Caenorhabditis elegans: one gene and its partner. The protein of the gene in region 1 interacts with the protein of each later gene in a biochemical or structural test. Each region holds a gene or a part of one and is shown in the gene's direction. Other genes may lie near its edges. The genes, in order: asp-13 and ced-3.

What was found.
Region 2: of the proteins of asp-13 (region 1) and ced-3, one has a biochemical effect on the other in vitro, tested with the Caenorhabditis elegans proteins (one study listed by BioGRID).

Annotation. Positions count from the first base shown.
Region 1 is NC_003283.11:8,639,935-8,645,889, reverse strand, and holds asp-13 (Peptidase A1 domain-containing protein), read left to right. Parts: upstream 1-2,696; 5' UTR 2,697-2,699; coding exon 2,700-3,010; intron 3,011-3,075; coding exon 3,076-3,205; intron 3,206-3,356; coding exon 3,357-3,440; intron 3,441-3,487; coding exon 3,488-3,736; intron 3,737-3,782; coding exon 3,783-3,911; intron 3,912-3,960; coding exon 3,961-4,080; intron 4,081-4,123; coding exon 4,124-4,270; 3' UTR 4,271-4,288; downstream 4,289-5,955. Other genes in the region: nssp-59 (Protein quiver), read left to right, coding at 4,546-4,771, 4,822-4,877, 4,932-5,024, 5,074-5,181; acd-4 (DEgenerin Like), read right to left, coding at 5,305-5,445, 5,493-5,657, 5,701-5,846, 5,889-5,955.
Region 2 is NC_003282.8:13,196,826-13,207,008, reverse strand, and holds ced-3 (Cell death protein 3 subunit p17), read left to right. Parts: upstream 1-2,871; 5' UTR 2,872-2,942; coding exon 2,943-3,077; intron 3,078-3,140; coding exon 3,141-3,286; intron 3,287-3,564; coding exon 3,565-3,818; intron 3,819-5,006; coding exon 5,007-5,338; intron 5,339-6,250; coding exon 6,251-6,464; intron 6,465-6,518; coding exon 6,519-6,646; intron 6,647-6,719; exon of another isoform or gene 6,720-6,869; intron 6,870-7,000; coding exon 7,001-7,240; intron 7,241-7,716; coding exon 7,717-7,779; 3' UTR 7,780-8,748; downstream 8,749-10,183. Other genes in the region: C48D1.1 (Zer-1-like leucine-rich repeats region domain-containing protein), read left to right, coding at 9,627-9,684, 9,735-9,977.

The DNA of each region.
Region 1 (5,955 bases):
AAAATAAATTATTTTCAGAAAAGTTCAAAAAGCTTCAAAAAACCCGTGTCCCGTTTGTCCCGTTTTCCCGTTTTTTGAGTGTTTTTACGGGAACGGGACGTCCCGTTGTCCCGTTTTTAAAATTATCACGGGAACGGGACGTCCCGCTGTCCCGTTTTTGTAATTTTTACGGGACATTGACACCCTTGAGTAGGATCAAATGAAAATTATTAGGCTGAACATTTTGAAGACGTTCTCAATTGAACCAATTGACAGAAATGCTCAAGAATCAAAAGAATATACCTTTTAAAAAAATCGGTAAATGGTCTAGTTGTTATTAATTTTATCAGATTTTTACTGTTACTTACTCACATATTTCCAAAAGTAAGGAACCTAATTTAACTAGAACTTCAGGTGGGACGGATACGGGCGCTGTCCAATCAGGGGCTCCAGTCTTTGCTCTTCTTGATTGCCGATTGGCCGATCGATTGCGAAAAAATGAAATCTAACTAGCAGCGGAATGCAAACTATCCAGTGCTTTTTTATGGTGTCAACAAAAATTTTACTGTATGATTTCACAAAGATTTGAAAGCTGGATGCTCCATAAATTTTTGCATGCCACTTTGACACCATTTAGTCATTTTTGTGCATACCTTGAAGGCTTAGCTTATTATGAGTGAACAAGCATCTTAACTATACAGGGCTACTTTCATCAAAACGTCAAATTACTCTTACGACCTTGTCATGAATTTCAGAATTCTGAAATTAATCAAAAGCCGCCGCTGTATTACGCAATTCCAAACTGTTTTCCCAGCCTTCAGAAGTATACCGTCCTGAAGTATACCCAGATCCATAAATTTTTGCATGTCACCTTGTCTTCTTTTCCCAAAAACTTAGCGGGTCGGGGGGTTAGCCACCTTCTTCACACAGGGCAACATTGTCTTTGTCTCCGAGTTGTGTACGTCCCGCGTCCTCTCGTTTTTCGCTCATTCGATTTATTGGGTAAAAGTGCGCGAAAACAGAGAGGAAATGGAGAAGGACCGAGTAGAACAAGTTGGGACAATACGGGGGAGCGACACGCGACGAAACGGTGACATTAGTGATAGATGAGTCTAGATTTGGGAATAGTGTGAGTGATGAAGAGACACAGATATATTTTATGAGAGGGAAAGTGAGGTCGAAGGTTCAAGTTTCCATGGTGCATTTGAGCATAATGGGAAAATGAGGAGAGCGGCAAGAAGTTGTGATACCCTGAAATATTGGTCATGGAGGATTAAAGGGGAGATAAGTATTGAAAAAAAACATATGGAACACTATATGTGTTCAGAAATTTTAATTTGAAAAAAACTAAATTTTAAACTAAATTTAAACTCGAACAGTTTGAGTCAACATATAGTGAATGACAAAAAAACCATTTGGAAGTGGAAAAATATTCAAGTTCAAAAAACGGAAAAGTGCATAACTTTTTTATGGGAATTTTACCTACAAGACAAAAAATCTAATTTTTCAGAATTTGGAAAACTTAAAAAACATAACCGTTATTTTTCTATCCCTACTTTAGTAGTTTAGTGTACTTCTAGGTATCTACTGATGTTCAAAAAATTATTGTAATAGTTAAAGATCTCCATTATGCAAATCACAGCTCATAGTGAAGTATAAAAAGTCATTTAATTACAGTATTCCCATTCATTGGTTAATCAATTCACTTGCTGTCAATGGGAAAACAATTTCAAAAGGTTATCACCGTTTGAATATCGAAACGATCATATTCTTTCTACACTTGTGTGACAATAAATCGTGTCAACCAGACAATGTGGAGCATTTGAGGTTGAAGTTTTGATAGGCTCGTATAAAGCTAGGGAACCTTTTCAGATATTTGTAGTTATAATATCGTTAAAGGGAATGTGCGTGGTGTTTGTAAAATCGTAATAATCACATAAATACAATCAACTCAAAATGATGAAACCAGCAAAAATAGAAACAAGAAAATGCGATTCAAGTGAATAGGGCAACATTCCTCTTCATCTCATTCTTCAACTAAATTTAATTTGGCTTCCAGTTTTTTCTCTATTCTTTTCCGTCTTCTTTCGTTCCTTTTCCAATTGCACTTTTTGTACCATAGGGACCCTCCGTCTTCGTTTTTTTCTGCAAACAAAAGCGCCACCCTAACTATCATTCCGCTTTACAAAGGAAATGAGAAGAACGAACTGGGAGAGCCCAGGGTGGCCTTCTTCTTCGTTTGGTTTTTTAAGAGTCTCGGGTCCCGAGGGTCCATTCAAAATTGAGAACATGCTGTTTTGTAGAAAACGAAAGGCGACATTCCGCAAGATTTGGGTGGTCTCCGACGAGAGACGTTTAGCCCGATTGCCTGATTTATGACCATGTGCACTTTTACAGACTTGTTTAGTGTCAATATGAAAAACGAATGTGCAAAACTGGTTGATGAAAGGCAAGCGTGAACTAGTACGTGTGAATCTGACATCTAAAGTTGAATTATAAAAAACTCGTAGGGAAAATACGGTAATCCATTTATCAGACTCAATTCAAATAAATATTCTGAAACACAGTATCAGAGTTCATAATCTGATGTTGCAATGTTATCAGTGAATTCAATTAGTTAGAATGTTTCGCCGATAACCCTATTTAGTTTTCTTTCCCATTTCAGCGGAGAATAATTATTTTTTCATTCAGTGTTTCAATTTATTTTTATTTTTCAGAAAATGGGTATTATTTCCATTATTTTCCTTCTTATTGGGTCTTCGACGGCTGCAGTCCTCGAACATCAATTAATATGGAAAGAATCTAGAATGATTGAAATGATCAGAAATGGAGAATATCCTGCCTATTTGGAGTACCGCGACCGTATGGTTGCTAGTAGATCATCTAACCTGGCTACTGTGGTTCAAAGCACAACAGATTATGTGTACTATGAGTACATGGGAAATATTACTGTTGGAACTCCTGATCAAAACTTTATTGTTGTATTAGATACCGGATCAGCCAATCTCTTAATTCCAGGAACTAATTGCACGTTAGTATTCCTGTTTTGAAATTGAATAACGTTTGTGATCACAATTTTTCGAAAGTTTTTTACAGAACGTACTGTGAGAAAAAGAGATTATTTAATGAAAAAGCTTCATCCACATATATTGCAACCAACCGCCCATGGCAGATCAAATATGCTAGCGGTGATGCCTACGGGACATTGGGAATTGACACTGTTAAGGTTATTTGATGGAAATTCTGAAATTTTACATATTTAAATGCATAAATAAATTGTAAAAAAGTATTAACAAAAATTTAATTAGGAGTAAATTCGTGTCTGGTACTGTGAATAACTTTTCTTGGAGTCATCTAGGATAAAATGGAATTTTCAGATCGGTGGATCAGGAGAAGCACAACTCGCTATTCCAAGATCATACCTTGGTGTTGCAGACACTGTCGGATCAGATTTCAAATGGGTTCGTTTTTTTCAAGTTCCTTCACTTTCACTATTTTGCATTTGCAGAGCCCAAAAGAGGGAATCTTTGGTCTTGCATTTACTGCATTAGCTGTTGACAACATTACCCCTCCAATCATCAACGCTATCAATCAAGGACTACTTGATCAGCCACTTTTCACTACATGGTTTGGTCAGAGAGGTGCTCCTGGAACTTCTGCAAGTGGTGCATTCACTTATGGAGGATTGGATAAAAACCATTGTGGGCCAGTTATTGGATATGCGGAACTAACTAATGCTAGACATTTTCAGTTCCAGGTATTTCTGGAGAGTTTTGATTTTTGTATTTTTTCTGAATTTCTAGGCAACCGGATTTTCTCTTGGCTCATATGTATCCACAACCACATATGAGGTAATCACCGATACCGCTACTTCATTTCTATGTGGACCTCAAGCTGCAATTGACAACTTGGCTAAAGCTGCAGGAGCTACTGTAAGCATGTACTTTCTGTGATTGCGTTAAAAATTACAAATTGTTTCAGTGGGACCCAACAAATCAAGTATTTAACATTCCTTGTGATGCCGACGCGGGGCCAATTAAGATGAAAATTGGCCAATTCAACTATGTTATTCGAGCAAATAACTACATTTTGAAGATTGATGTAAGTTTTGCTACATATCAAAAATTATGTGAATAATTTACAGACAAACTCCTGCCTTTTCGCTGCAATTCCACAAAACTATGCTGGTTTCGGACCTTCATGGATTCTCGGTGGACCATTCATGAGACAATATTGTAATGTACATGATATCGGACAGAAACGTGTTGGATTCTGTTTATCTCTTGCATAGACTCTTTCATAAATACATACATTCATATTCTCGTATTCTGATGTTTCTTTTGTTTTTGTGGTTCCTTGTCCTGTGATTTCTGCTATTTTCGTATTTTGTGGAAAATGAAAAGATGATGGACCATCGAAATGAGAGGAGGAAACGTAGTTTGTACACATGAATAAGTCACTTGACGCGTATCCATGGAGGTCTTTGTCTATAACGTTTTCCTTTAAATTTGGAGCGTCTCAAGTTCTTGGCTCATTCTGATTTTTTGACTCATTCACTTCCTCGAAATGCCTTCTAATTTTTACTTTTTCTTTTTCGCATTCCTAATTTTTCTTATAACTCCAACATACCCGCTCCAATGCCATCAATGCGGAGGTCAGGAAAACATGTCTAAGCTAACAAAGAAAATGTTCACTGAACTGAATATCAGCCCTGATAAGTACTACGGAGATTGTAAAGCAACGTCCGGTGCCGATGTTTGTACCAATGGAACATTTTGTATCAAAAGAGCAAGTATGATTGTTGTTTTTTTTTACGAATCACTGGTACCATTCTCTTTTTAGAAATCCACAGAGTTGGCTTCAATAGTATCAATTTCAAATGGACTTCATACACAAAGGTATCTAATTTTTTTATAAACTTGTAAAAGTATGCAACTGATCCTAACTTTCAGGGATGCGCTAGCGTTCGCGAAGACAACAATCAGACTCCATCAAACGGATGTTTTGACTTGAACCAAAAGGTCAAGAAAACTGGATATACTACTGTAAGTTGCGCTATTTTTACAGCACAGTTTTCAAACTTTATGTTTGTAGGAGCGCCTCGATTGCTATTGTGACAAAGACTTCTGCAACTCCTCGACGGCCGTTTCAATGACTTTCACCACAGTATTTGTGTTCTTCTGGTTCTACAAATCAATTTGAGAATGATGTTAGAAATATTTCTTGTTGAAAAATATTGGGAATTAGTAATTTATGTAGCTTGAGAATAATTGCTTGGGTTTCTGCTTTTCACTATAAATTCAAAATTTGAGATCAATGAATCTTTCATAGTTTTATAATAATTCCCAGATCATTATTTTCGTCTTCATCCTCTTCTTCAAAATCTTCACAACATTCCGATATTCTTGGAAGACTAATCGCGGAAGGACGTTGTAGGGGTTTTTCAAAGTCAATAGCGAGTTGAATCTAAACAAAATAAAAATTAATTAACTATTGAGCCTTTTTATATTCACCACATTGTCCAAATGGCTATCCGAAAGTTGGCTCGAGCTTCTGTACCAGTAATCTTCATCATCTAAACTTTCAATATCCAGAAATTTCAAATTTGCAGCTGAGCTTCTTCGTGATCTAGATATTTCAGCTTCTTGTACAGCTTCTTCGATATTTCTTTCCTTTCTCTGAAATGAAATTTGTAATTGGAAGAATTTTCTAGAATTCTACCTTTTCCGACATTTTCTTCTCAAAAAGATATTGCCTTCGCTTACTTGATACAGCGATCCACGAGATTTTCGTGAAGTATAGAATTAGCTCAGTTAAAGAAACAACTGACATTCCAAACCACAAACCGTTCAAACCAAATATTTTATCTAAAATTCAGAAATTGTTTCATTAGTAATCAAAAAACTCACTGAAAGTATTCAAAATAGTTGTTGCTTTAACTTGAGAGTATGAAGTGTAGAACAATTCCATAAAATG
Region 2 (10,183 bases), on another chromosome or scaffold:
CAGATTCAATTTTGGAAAGTGCCGTGAGAACCGTGCGAAGAAGCTCATCTCGGGACATGGATATTTCATCGCTGAACATGGAAAAGGAGTGTGGGAGAACTTGTACTATCTTCCACGTAGCAACGGCGAGTATCTGTTCCTTCCACGTGCTTAGATGTGTGGGATTGATGGACGCGATATTTGATTTTTTGAAATTATTAAGTTCTGTTCTACAGAATTTTCAATAAAAAGTTTTCTTTGGCTCTTGCGTTACTTATGTTACTAATTAGTGTTATTTATATTATCAACAAGAATTAAAATTAAAATTTTAAGAAACATTGAAGCTTTGCATTAAAAATTTAAAACGTTTATTTTAATTCAATTTTTAAAATTTGGCTCACTGCGATTCTGCGTGAAATGTGATGTTTCTACAGTAACCCGTACAACCAAGGCATCGAACTTCACGACATTTACGAATTCAAATTTGAATTGCAAACTTTTTAATTTTATCGATTTTCTTTCTTTTTGAGCTTTATCAATAGCTCTAAGCGATTATTCAACAGAATTTCACTTTTTTACGCCTAAATGATTGAAAATTTGATAAAATATCAATAATTTACGGTTATCCTCTTCGTAATCTTCGCTTTCTTCCCAGAGTAGTGAAAATATCGACTTTTTGATAGAAACTGGATTTTTTAACTTCCCTGTTCGAAAAACTATTTTTCCTTAAATGAGATCTGAAATAAGGTGATAAATTAATAAATTAAGTGTATTTCTGAGGAAATTTGACTGTTTTAGCACAATTAATCTTGTTTCAGAAAAAAAGTCCAGTTTTCTAGATTTTTCCGTCTTATTGTCGAATTAATATCCCTATTATCACTTTTTCATGCTCATCCTCGAGCGGCAGCGTCTCAAAGAATTGTGAGAGCAAACGCGCTCCATTGACCTCCACACTCAGCCGCCAAAAACAAACGTTCGAACATTCGTGTGTTGTGCCTCCTTTTCCGTTATCTTGCAGTCATCTTTTGTCGTTTTTTTCTTTGTTCTTTTTGTTGAACGTGTTGCTAAGCAATTATTACATCAATTGAAGAAAAGGCTCGCCGATTTATTGTTGCCAGAAAGATTCTGAGATTCTCGAAGTCGATTTTATAATATTTAACCTTGGTTTTTGCATTGTTTCGTTTAAAAAAACCACTGTTTATGTGAAAAACGATTAGTTTACTAATAAAACTACTTTTAAACCTTTACCTTTACCTCACCGCTCCGTGTTCATGGCTCATAGATTTTCGATACTCAAATCCAAAAATAAATTTACGAGGGCAATTAATGTGAAACAAAAACAATCCTAAGATTTCCACATGTTTGACCTCTCCGGCACCTTCTTCCTTAGCCCCACCACTCCATCACCTCTTTGGCGGTGTTCTTCGAAACCCACTTAGGAAAGCAGTGTGTATCTCATTTGGTATGCTCTTTTCGATTTTATAGCTCTTTGTCGCAATTTCAATGCTTTAAACAATCCAAATCGCATTATATTTGTGCATGGAGGCAAATGACGGGGTTGGAATCTTAGATGAGATCAGGAGCTTTCAGGGTAAACGCCCGGTTCATTTTGTACCACATTTCATCATTTTCCTGTCGTCCTTGGTATCCTCAACTTGTCCCGGTTTTGTTTTCGGTACACTCTTCCGTGATGCCACCTGCTCCGTCTCAATTATCGTTTAGAAATGTGAACTGTCCAGATGGGTGACTCATATTGCTGCTGCTACAATCCACTTTCTTTTCTCATCGGCATGCTTACGAGCCCATCATAAACTTTTTTTTCCGCGAAATTTGCAATAAACCGGCCAAAAACTTTCTCCAAATTGTTACGCAATATATACAATCCATAAGAATATCTTCTCAATGTTTATGATTTCTTCGCAGCACTTTCTCTTCGTGTGCTAACATCTTATTTTTATAATATTTCCGCTAAAATTCCGATTTTTGAGTATTAATTTATCGTAAAATTATCATAATAGCACCGAAAACTACAAAAAATGGTAAAGTCTTTTAAATCGGCTCGACATTATCGTATTAAGGAATCACAAAATTCTGAGAATGCGTACTGCGCAACATATTTGACGCGCAAAATATCTCGTAGCGAAAACTACAGTAATTCTTTAAATGACTACTGTAGCGCTTGTGTCGATTTACGGGCTCAATTTTTGAAAATAATTTTTTTTTTCGAATTTTGACAACCCGTAAATCGTCACAAGCGCTACGGTAGTCATTTAAAGGATTACTGTAGTTCTAGCTACGAGATATTTTGCGCGCCAAATATGATGCGTAATACGCATTCTCTGAATTTTGTGTTTCCGTAATAATTTCACAAGATTTTGGCATTCCTCTTTAAAGGCGCACGGATTTATTCCAATGGGTCTCGGCACGCAAAAAGTTTGATAGACTTTTAAATTCTCCTTGCATTTTTAATTCAATTACTAAAATTTTCGTGAATTTTTCTGTTAAAATTTTTAAAATCAGTTTTCTAATATTTTCCAGGCTGACAAACAGAAACAAAAACACAACAAACATTTTAAAAATCAGTTTTCAAATTAAAAATAACGATTTCTCATTGAAAATTGTGTTTTATGTTTGCGAAAATAAAAGAGAACTGATTCAAAACAATTTTAACAAAAAAAAACCCCAAAATTCGCCAGAAATCAAGATAAAAAATTCAAGAGGGTCAAAATTTTCCGATTTTACTGACTTTCACCTTTTTTTTCGTAGTTCAGTGCAGTTGTTGGAGTTTTTGACGAAAACTAGGAAAAAAATCGATAAAAATTACTCAAATCGAGCTGAATTTTGAGGACAATGTTTAAAAAAAAACACTATTTTTCCAATAATTTCACTCATTTTCAGACTAAATCGAAAATCAAATCGTACTCTGACTACGGGTCAGTAGAGAGGTCAACCATCAGCCGAAGATGATGCGTCAAGATAGAAGGAGCTTGCTAGAGAGGAACATTATGATGTTCTCTAGTCATCTAAAAGTCGATGAAATTCTCGAAGTTCTCATCGCAAAACAAGTGTTGAATAGTGATAATGGAGATATGATTAATGTGAGTTTTTAATCGAATAATAATTTTAAAAAAAAATTGATAATATAAAGAATATTTTTGCAGTCATGTGGAACGGTTCGCGAGAAGAGACGGGAGATCGTGAAAGCAGTGCAACGACGGGGAGATGTGGCGTTCGACGCGTTTTATGATGCTCTTCGCTCTACGGGACACGAAGGACTTGCTGAAGTTCTTGAACCTCTCGCCAGATCGTAGGTTTTTAAAGTTCGGCGCAAAAGCAAGGGTCTCACGGAAAAAGAGGCGGATCGTAATTTTGCAACCCACCGGCACGGTTTTTTCCTCCGAAAATCGGAAATTATGCACTTTCCCAAATATTTGAAGTGAAATATATTTTATTTACTGAAAGCTCGAGTGATTATTTATTTTTTAACACTAATTTTCGTGGCGCAAAAGGCCATTTTGTAGATTTGCCGAAAATACTTGTCACACACACACACACACATCTCCTTCAAATATCCCTTTTTTCCAGTGTTGACTCGAATGCTGTCGAATTCGAGTGTCCAATGTCACCGGCAAGCCATCGTCGGAGCCGCGCATTGAGCCCCGCCGGCTACACTTCACCGACCCGAGTTCACCGTGACAGCGTCTCTTCAGTGTCATCATTCACTTCTTATCAGGATATCTACTCAAGAGCAAGATCTCGTTCTCGATCGCGTGCACTTCATTCATCGGATCGACACAATTATTCATCTCCTCCAGTCAACGCATTTCCCAGCCAACCTTGTATGTTGATGCGAACACTAAATTCTGAGAATGCGCATTACTCAACATATTTGACGCGCAAAATATCTCGTAGCGAAAAATACAGTAACCCTTTAAATGACTATTGTAGTGTCGATTTACGGGCTCGATTTTCGAAACGAATATATGCTCGAATTGTGACAACGAATTTTAATTTGTCATTTTTGTGTTTTCTTTTGATATTTTTGATCAATTAATAAATTATTTCCGTAAACAGACACCAGCGCTACAGTACTCTTTTAAAGAGTTACAGTAGTTTTCGCTTCAAGATATTTTGAAAAGAATTTTAAACATTTTGAAAAAAAATCATCTAACATGTGCCAAAACGCTTTTTTCAAGTTTCGCAGATTTTTTGATTTTTTTCATTCAAGATATGCTTATTAACACATATAATTATCATTAATGTGAATATCTTGTAGAAATTTTGGTTTTCGTTCTAGTATGCTCTACTTTTGAAATTGCTCAACGAAAAAATCATGTGGTTGTTCATATGATGACGAAAAATGCATTTTTTATATATTTTCCCCTATTCATGTGTGCAGAAAAATGTAAAAAAGCGCATGCATTTTTCGACATTTTTTACATCGAACGACAGCTCACTTCACATGCTGAAGACGAGAGACGCGGAGAAATACCACACATCTTTCTGCGTCTCTCGTCTTCAGCATGTGAAATGGGATGTCGGTCGATGTAAAAAAATGTCGAATAATGTAAAAAATGCATGCGTTTTTTTACACTTTTCTGCACAAATGAATAGGGGGAAAATGTATTAAAATACATTTTTTGTATTTTTCAACATCACATGATTAACCCCATTATTTTTTCGTTGAGCAACTTAAAAAGTAGAGAATATTAGAGCGAAAACCAAAATTTCTTCAAGATATTACCTTTATTGATAATTATAGATGTTAATAAGCATATCTTGAATGAAAGTCAGCAAAAATATGTGCGAAACACCTGAAAAAAATCAAAAATTCTGCGAAAATTGAAAAAATGCATTAAAATACATTTTTGCATTTTTCTACATCACATGAATGTAGAAAATTAAAAGGGAAATCAAAATTTCTAGAGGATATAATTGAATGAAACATTGCGAAATTAAAATGTGCGAAACGTCAAAAAAGAGGAAATTTGGGTATCAAAATCGATCCTAAAACCAACACATTTCAGCATCCGCCAACTCTTCATTCACCGGATGCTCTTCTCTCGGATACAGTTCAAGTCGTAATCGCTCATTCAGCAAAGCTTCTGGACCAACTCAATACATATTCCATGAAGAGGATATGAACTTTGTCGATGCACCAACCATAAGCCGTGTTTTCGACGAGAAAACCATGTACAGAAACTTCTCGAGTCCTCGTGGAATGTGCCTCATCATAAATAATGAACACTTTGAGCAGATGCCAACACGGAATGGTACCAAGGCCGACAAGGACAATCTTACCAATTTGTTCAGATGCATGGGCTATACGGTTATTTGCAAGGACAATCTGACGGGAAGGGTACGGCGAAATTATATTACCCAAACGCGAAATTTTTGCCATTTTTGCGCCGAAAATGTGGCGCCCGGTCTCGACACGACAATTTGTGTTAAATGCAAAAATGTATAATTTTGCAAAAAACAAAATTTTGAACTTCCGCGAAAATGATTTACCTAGTTTCGAAATTTTCGTTTTTTCCGGCTACATTATGTGTTTTTTCTTAGTTTTTCTATAATATTTGATGTAAAAAACCGTTTGTAAATTTTCAGACAATTTTCCGCATACAAAACTTGATAGCACGAAATCAATTTTCTGAATTTTCAAAATTATCCAAAAATGCACAATTTAAAATTTGTGAAAATTGGCAAACGGTGTTTCAATATGAAATGTATTTTTAAAAACTTTAAAAACCACTCCGGAAAAGCAATAAAAATCAAAACAACGTCACAATTCAAATTCAAAAGTTATTCATCCGATTTGTTTATTTTTGCAAAATTTGAAAAAATCATGAAGGATTTAGAAAAGTTTTATAACATTTTTTCTAGATTTTTCAAAATTTTTTTTAACAAATCGAGAAAAAGAGAATGAAAAATCGATTTTAAAAATATCCACAGCAACGAGAGTTTGAAATTACAGTACTCCTTAAAGGCGCACACCCCATTTGCATTGACCAAAAATTTGTCGTGTCGAGACCAGGTACCGTAGTTTTTGTCGCAAAAATTGCACCATTGGACAATAAACCTTCCTAATCACCAAAAAGTAAAATTGAAATCTTCGAAAAGCCAAAAAATTCAAAAAAAAAGTCGAATTTCGATTTTTTTTTTGGTTTTTTGGTCCCAAAAACCAAAAAATCAATTTTTCGTCAAAATACCAAAAGAAACCCAAAAAATTTCCCAGCCTTGTTCCTAATGTAAACTGATATTTAATTTCCAGGGAATGCTCCTGACAATTCGAGACTTTGCCAAACACGAATCACACGGAGATTCTGCGATACTCGTGATTCTATCACACGGAGAAGAGAATGTGATTATTGGAGTTGATGATATACCGATTAGTACACACGAGATATATGATCTTCTCAACGCGGCAAATGCTCCCCGTCTGGCGAATAAGCCGAAAATCGTTTTTGTGCAGGCTTGTCGAGGCGGTTCGTTTTTTATTTTAATTTTAATATAAATATTTTAAATAAATTCATTTTCAGAACGTCGTGACAATGGATTCCCAGTCTTGGATTCTGTCGACGGAGTTCCTGCATTTCTTCGTCGTGGATGGGACAATCGAGACGGGCCATTGTTCAATTTTCTTGGATGTGTGCGGCCGCAAGTTCAGGTTGCAATTTAATTTCTTGAATGAGAATATTCCTTCAAAAAATCTAAAATAGATTTTTATTCCAGAAAGTCCGACGAAAAAATTGCGATATAATTACGAAATTTGTGATAAAATGACAAACCAATCAGCATCGTCGATCTCCGCCCACTTCATCGGATTGGTTTGAAAGTGGGCGGAGTGAATTGCTGATTGGTCGCAGTTTTCAGTTTAGAGGGAATTTAAAAATCGCCTTTTCGAAAATTAAAAATTGATTTTTTCAATTTTTTCGAAAAATATTCCGATTATTTTATATTCTTTGGAGCGAAAGCCCCGTCCTGTAAACATTTTTAAATGATAATTAATAAATTTTTGCAGCAAGTGTGGAGAAAGAAGCCGAGCCAAGCTGACATTCTGATTGCATACGCAACGACAGCTCAATATGTTTCGTGGAGAAACAGTGCTCGTGGATCATGGTTCATTCAAGCCGTCTGTGAAGTGTTCTCGACACACGCAAAGGATATGGATGTTGTTGAGCTGCTGACTGAAGTCAATAAGAAGGTCGCTTGTGGATTTCAGACATCACAGGGATCGAATATTTTGAAACAGATGCCAGAGGTACTTGAACAACAATCGATCTGCTAACTTTTTAAGGCACAGAAAAATAGGCAGAGCGTCCTTTTGCAAGCCTGCCGCGCGTCAACCTAGAATTTTAGTTTTTAGCTAAAATGATTGATTTTGAATATTTTATGCTAATTTTTTTGCGTTAAATTTTGAAATAGTCACTATTTATCGGGTTTCCAGTAAAAAATGTTTATTAGCCATTGGATTTTACTGAAAACGAAAATTTGTAGTTTTTCAACGAAATTTATCGATTTTTAAATGTAAAAAAAAATAGCGAAAATACATCAACATCAAGCATTTAAGCCAAAAATTGTTAACTCATTTAAAAAATTAATTCAAAGTTGTCCACGAGTATTACACGGTTGGCGCGCGGCAAGTTTGCAAAACGACGCTCCGCCTCTTTTTCTGTGCGGCTTGAAAACAAGGGTATCGGTTTTAGATTTTTCCCCAAAATTTAAATTAAATTTCAGATGACATCCCGCCTGCTCAAAAAGTTCTACTTTTGGCCGGAAGCACGAAACTCTGCCGTCTAAAATTCACTCGTGATTCATTGCCCAATTGATAATTGTCTGTATCTTCTCCCCCAGTTCTCTTTCGCCCAATTAGTTTAAAACCATGTGTATATTGTTATCCTATACTCATTTCACTTTATCATTCTATCATTTCTCTTCCCATTTTCACACATTTCCATTTCTCTACGATAATCTAAAATTATGACGTTTGTGTCTCGAACGCATAATAATTTTAATAACTCGTTTTGAATTTGATTAGTTGTTGTGCCCAGTATATATGTATGTACTATGCTTCTATCAACAAAATAGTTTCATAGATCATCACCCCAACCCCACCAACCTACCGTACCATATTCATTTTTGCCGGGAATCAATTTCGATTAATTTTAACCTATTTTTTCGCCACAAAAAATCTAATATTTGAATTAACGAATAGCATTCCCATCTCTCCCCGTGCCGGAATGCCTCCCGGCCTTTTAAAGTTCGGAACATTTGGCCAATTATGTATAAAATTTTGTAGGTCCCCCCCATCATTTCCCGCCCATCATCTCAAATTGCATTCTTTTTTCGCCGTGATATCCCGATTCTGGTCAGCAAAGATCTTTCTCATAGCCCATTCCATTCGAGCTTTCTAATAGGAATTTGAAAATTTTCGAAATTCCAGTAAATAATATTGGAAAATGGATTTTTCGAGTTTTCAGCAACACAAATTTACTTGAAACCCCATTTTCCAAAATTTCAATTTTTTCAAATTTCCCGCTATCTTCCAAAATACTCTTGTACGTTTATTATATTTCCCTCGTTTTTCTTCGATTCCTCCTCTCCGCGCACCCAATAAGTTTTATATATGTTGAGATTTATATAGCTTGTTATTATAATTATATATTTATAGATTATTATAGTTGCTTTTCTCGCCGTATGTTTGTGTGTGTGTGATTGGTATACATAGATAAAAGAAAACAAGGTGTTAACAAAACAAAGGTGAAAAATAATCAACAATTAAAGAAGGAAACAAGCTAATATAAAATTTCGCACATATATGATATGCAAGCTTCTGACAATTCCCTAGTGAGTACTACAGATTAAGAATATGTGCACAAAAATTAAAGGCTGAATTTAAGCTTCTCAAACCTCCCAGATTACAAATATTACGGGAACATATAATTCTGAGCATGCGTACTGTGCAACATACTTGACGCGCAAAATATCTCGTAGCGAAAACTACAGTAATTCTATAAATGACTACAGTAGCTCTTGTATCGATTTACGGGCTCGAATTTCAAAATGAATTAAAATAATTTATTTGTCGATGGAATATTAAAATTAAGCAAAACATGAGAAAATAATACGAAATAACCAAGGGAAAAATGAGAAGTTGCTGTCACTATTCAAAAAGTCCCTCATTTCGAAAATGGGGACCGTAAATCGACACAAGCGGTACAGTAGTCACTTAAAATAATTACTGTAGTTTTCGCTACGAGATAGCTTGCGCGTCAAAAATGTTGCCGAGTACGCATTCTCAGAATTGTTTGTTCCCGTAATATAATTTTCTAAATGTACGTCCTTATATTATATTCTCAAAGTGCAAGAAGTCATTAGAAGTTATAATATATGAAATTTTTATCAGATTTCATATTTCAGTTTTTGAAACAATATTATGTAAACTCAAAATTTATCTGACCTCAAACATTCATGACTGTTCCCACTTTCTCATTCCCACGAGGTGCAATGATAGAGCTACATTAGAGACAGGTGTTCATAGGACCATACTATTTGCTCGCAATCCTCGATTGTTCACCCTTTCTTGTTTTTTCATTCTCTTTCGTTCTGTAAGATAGCACTTCTCTATTTTCTGGTTATTCCAAACAATGACCAAGCCTCTTCATGACATTGCCTGCCAAAAAATTGCCGAATTCGTTCAAAATGGTTAGTTTTTTGGAGATTTATCTCAATCTTACACTAAAGTATTTTTACAGGTTCATACGATAACAGAGAATTTGAACTTGATTCCAAATCGAGTAACATTGTTTATTCATATTTAATGAATCGAGATAAACCATTCAATTTAAAAACCATCCATAAACTGAACGTAACAAAAGTTACACTACACCCCCAGACACTGGATGAGAACACTGCAAGGCAACTGAAACAATTCTCGTTGAAAGAATTGAAAATTGGAAATTTTTCTAAATCTAAAAGTTGGTGCATATTTAGAAGAAGTAAGTTATTACGAGCAATAGATACATTTTTTCATTTTGTTTAGAATCAGATGTTTCACGGGTTTCTGGCTGGGCCCCTCGGTGTATTTTGTGCAAACACCGTCACGCGCAAACATATGTTCCATACACGATAAAGGCCATTCAGTTATCGATTGTTCCATTCAATTTACAGAATTTTCAAAAAAAAATTAGAAATTTCGAATGGA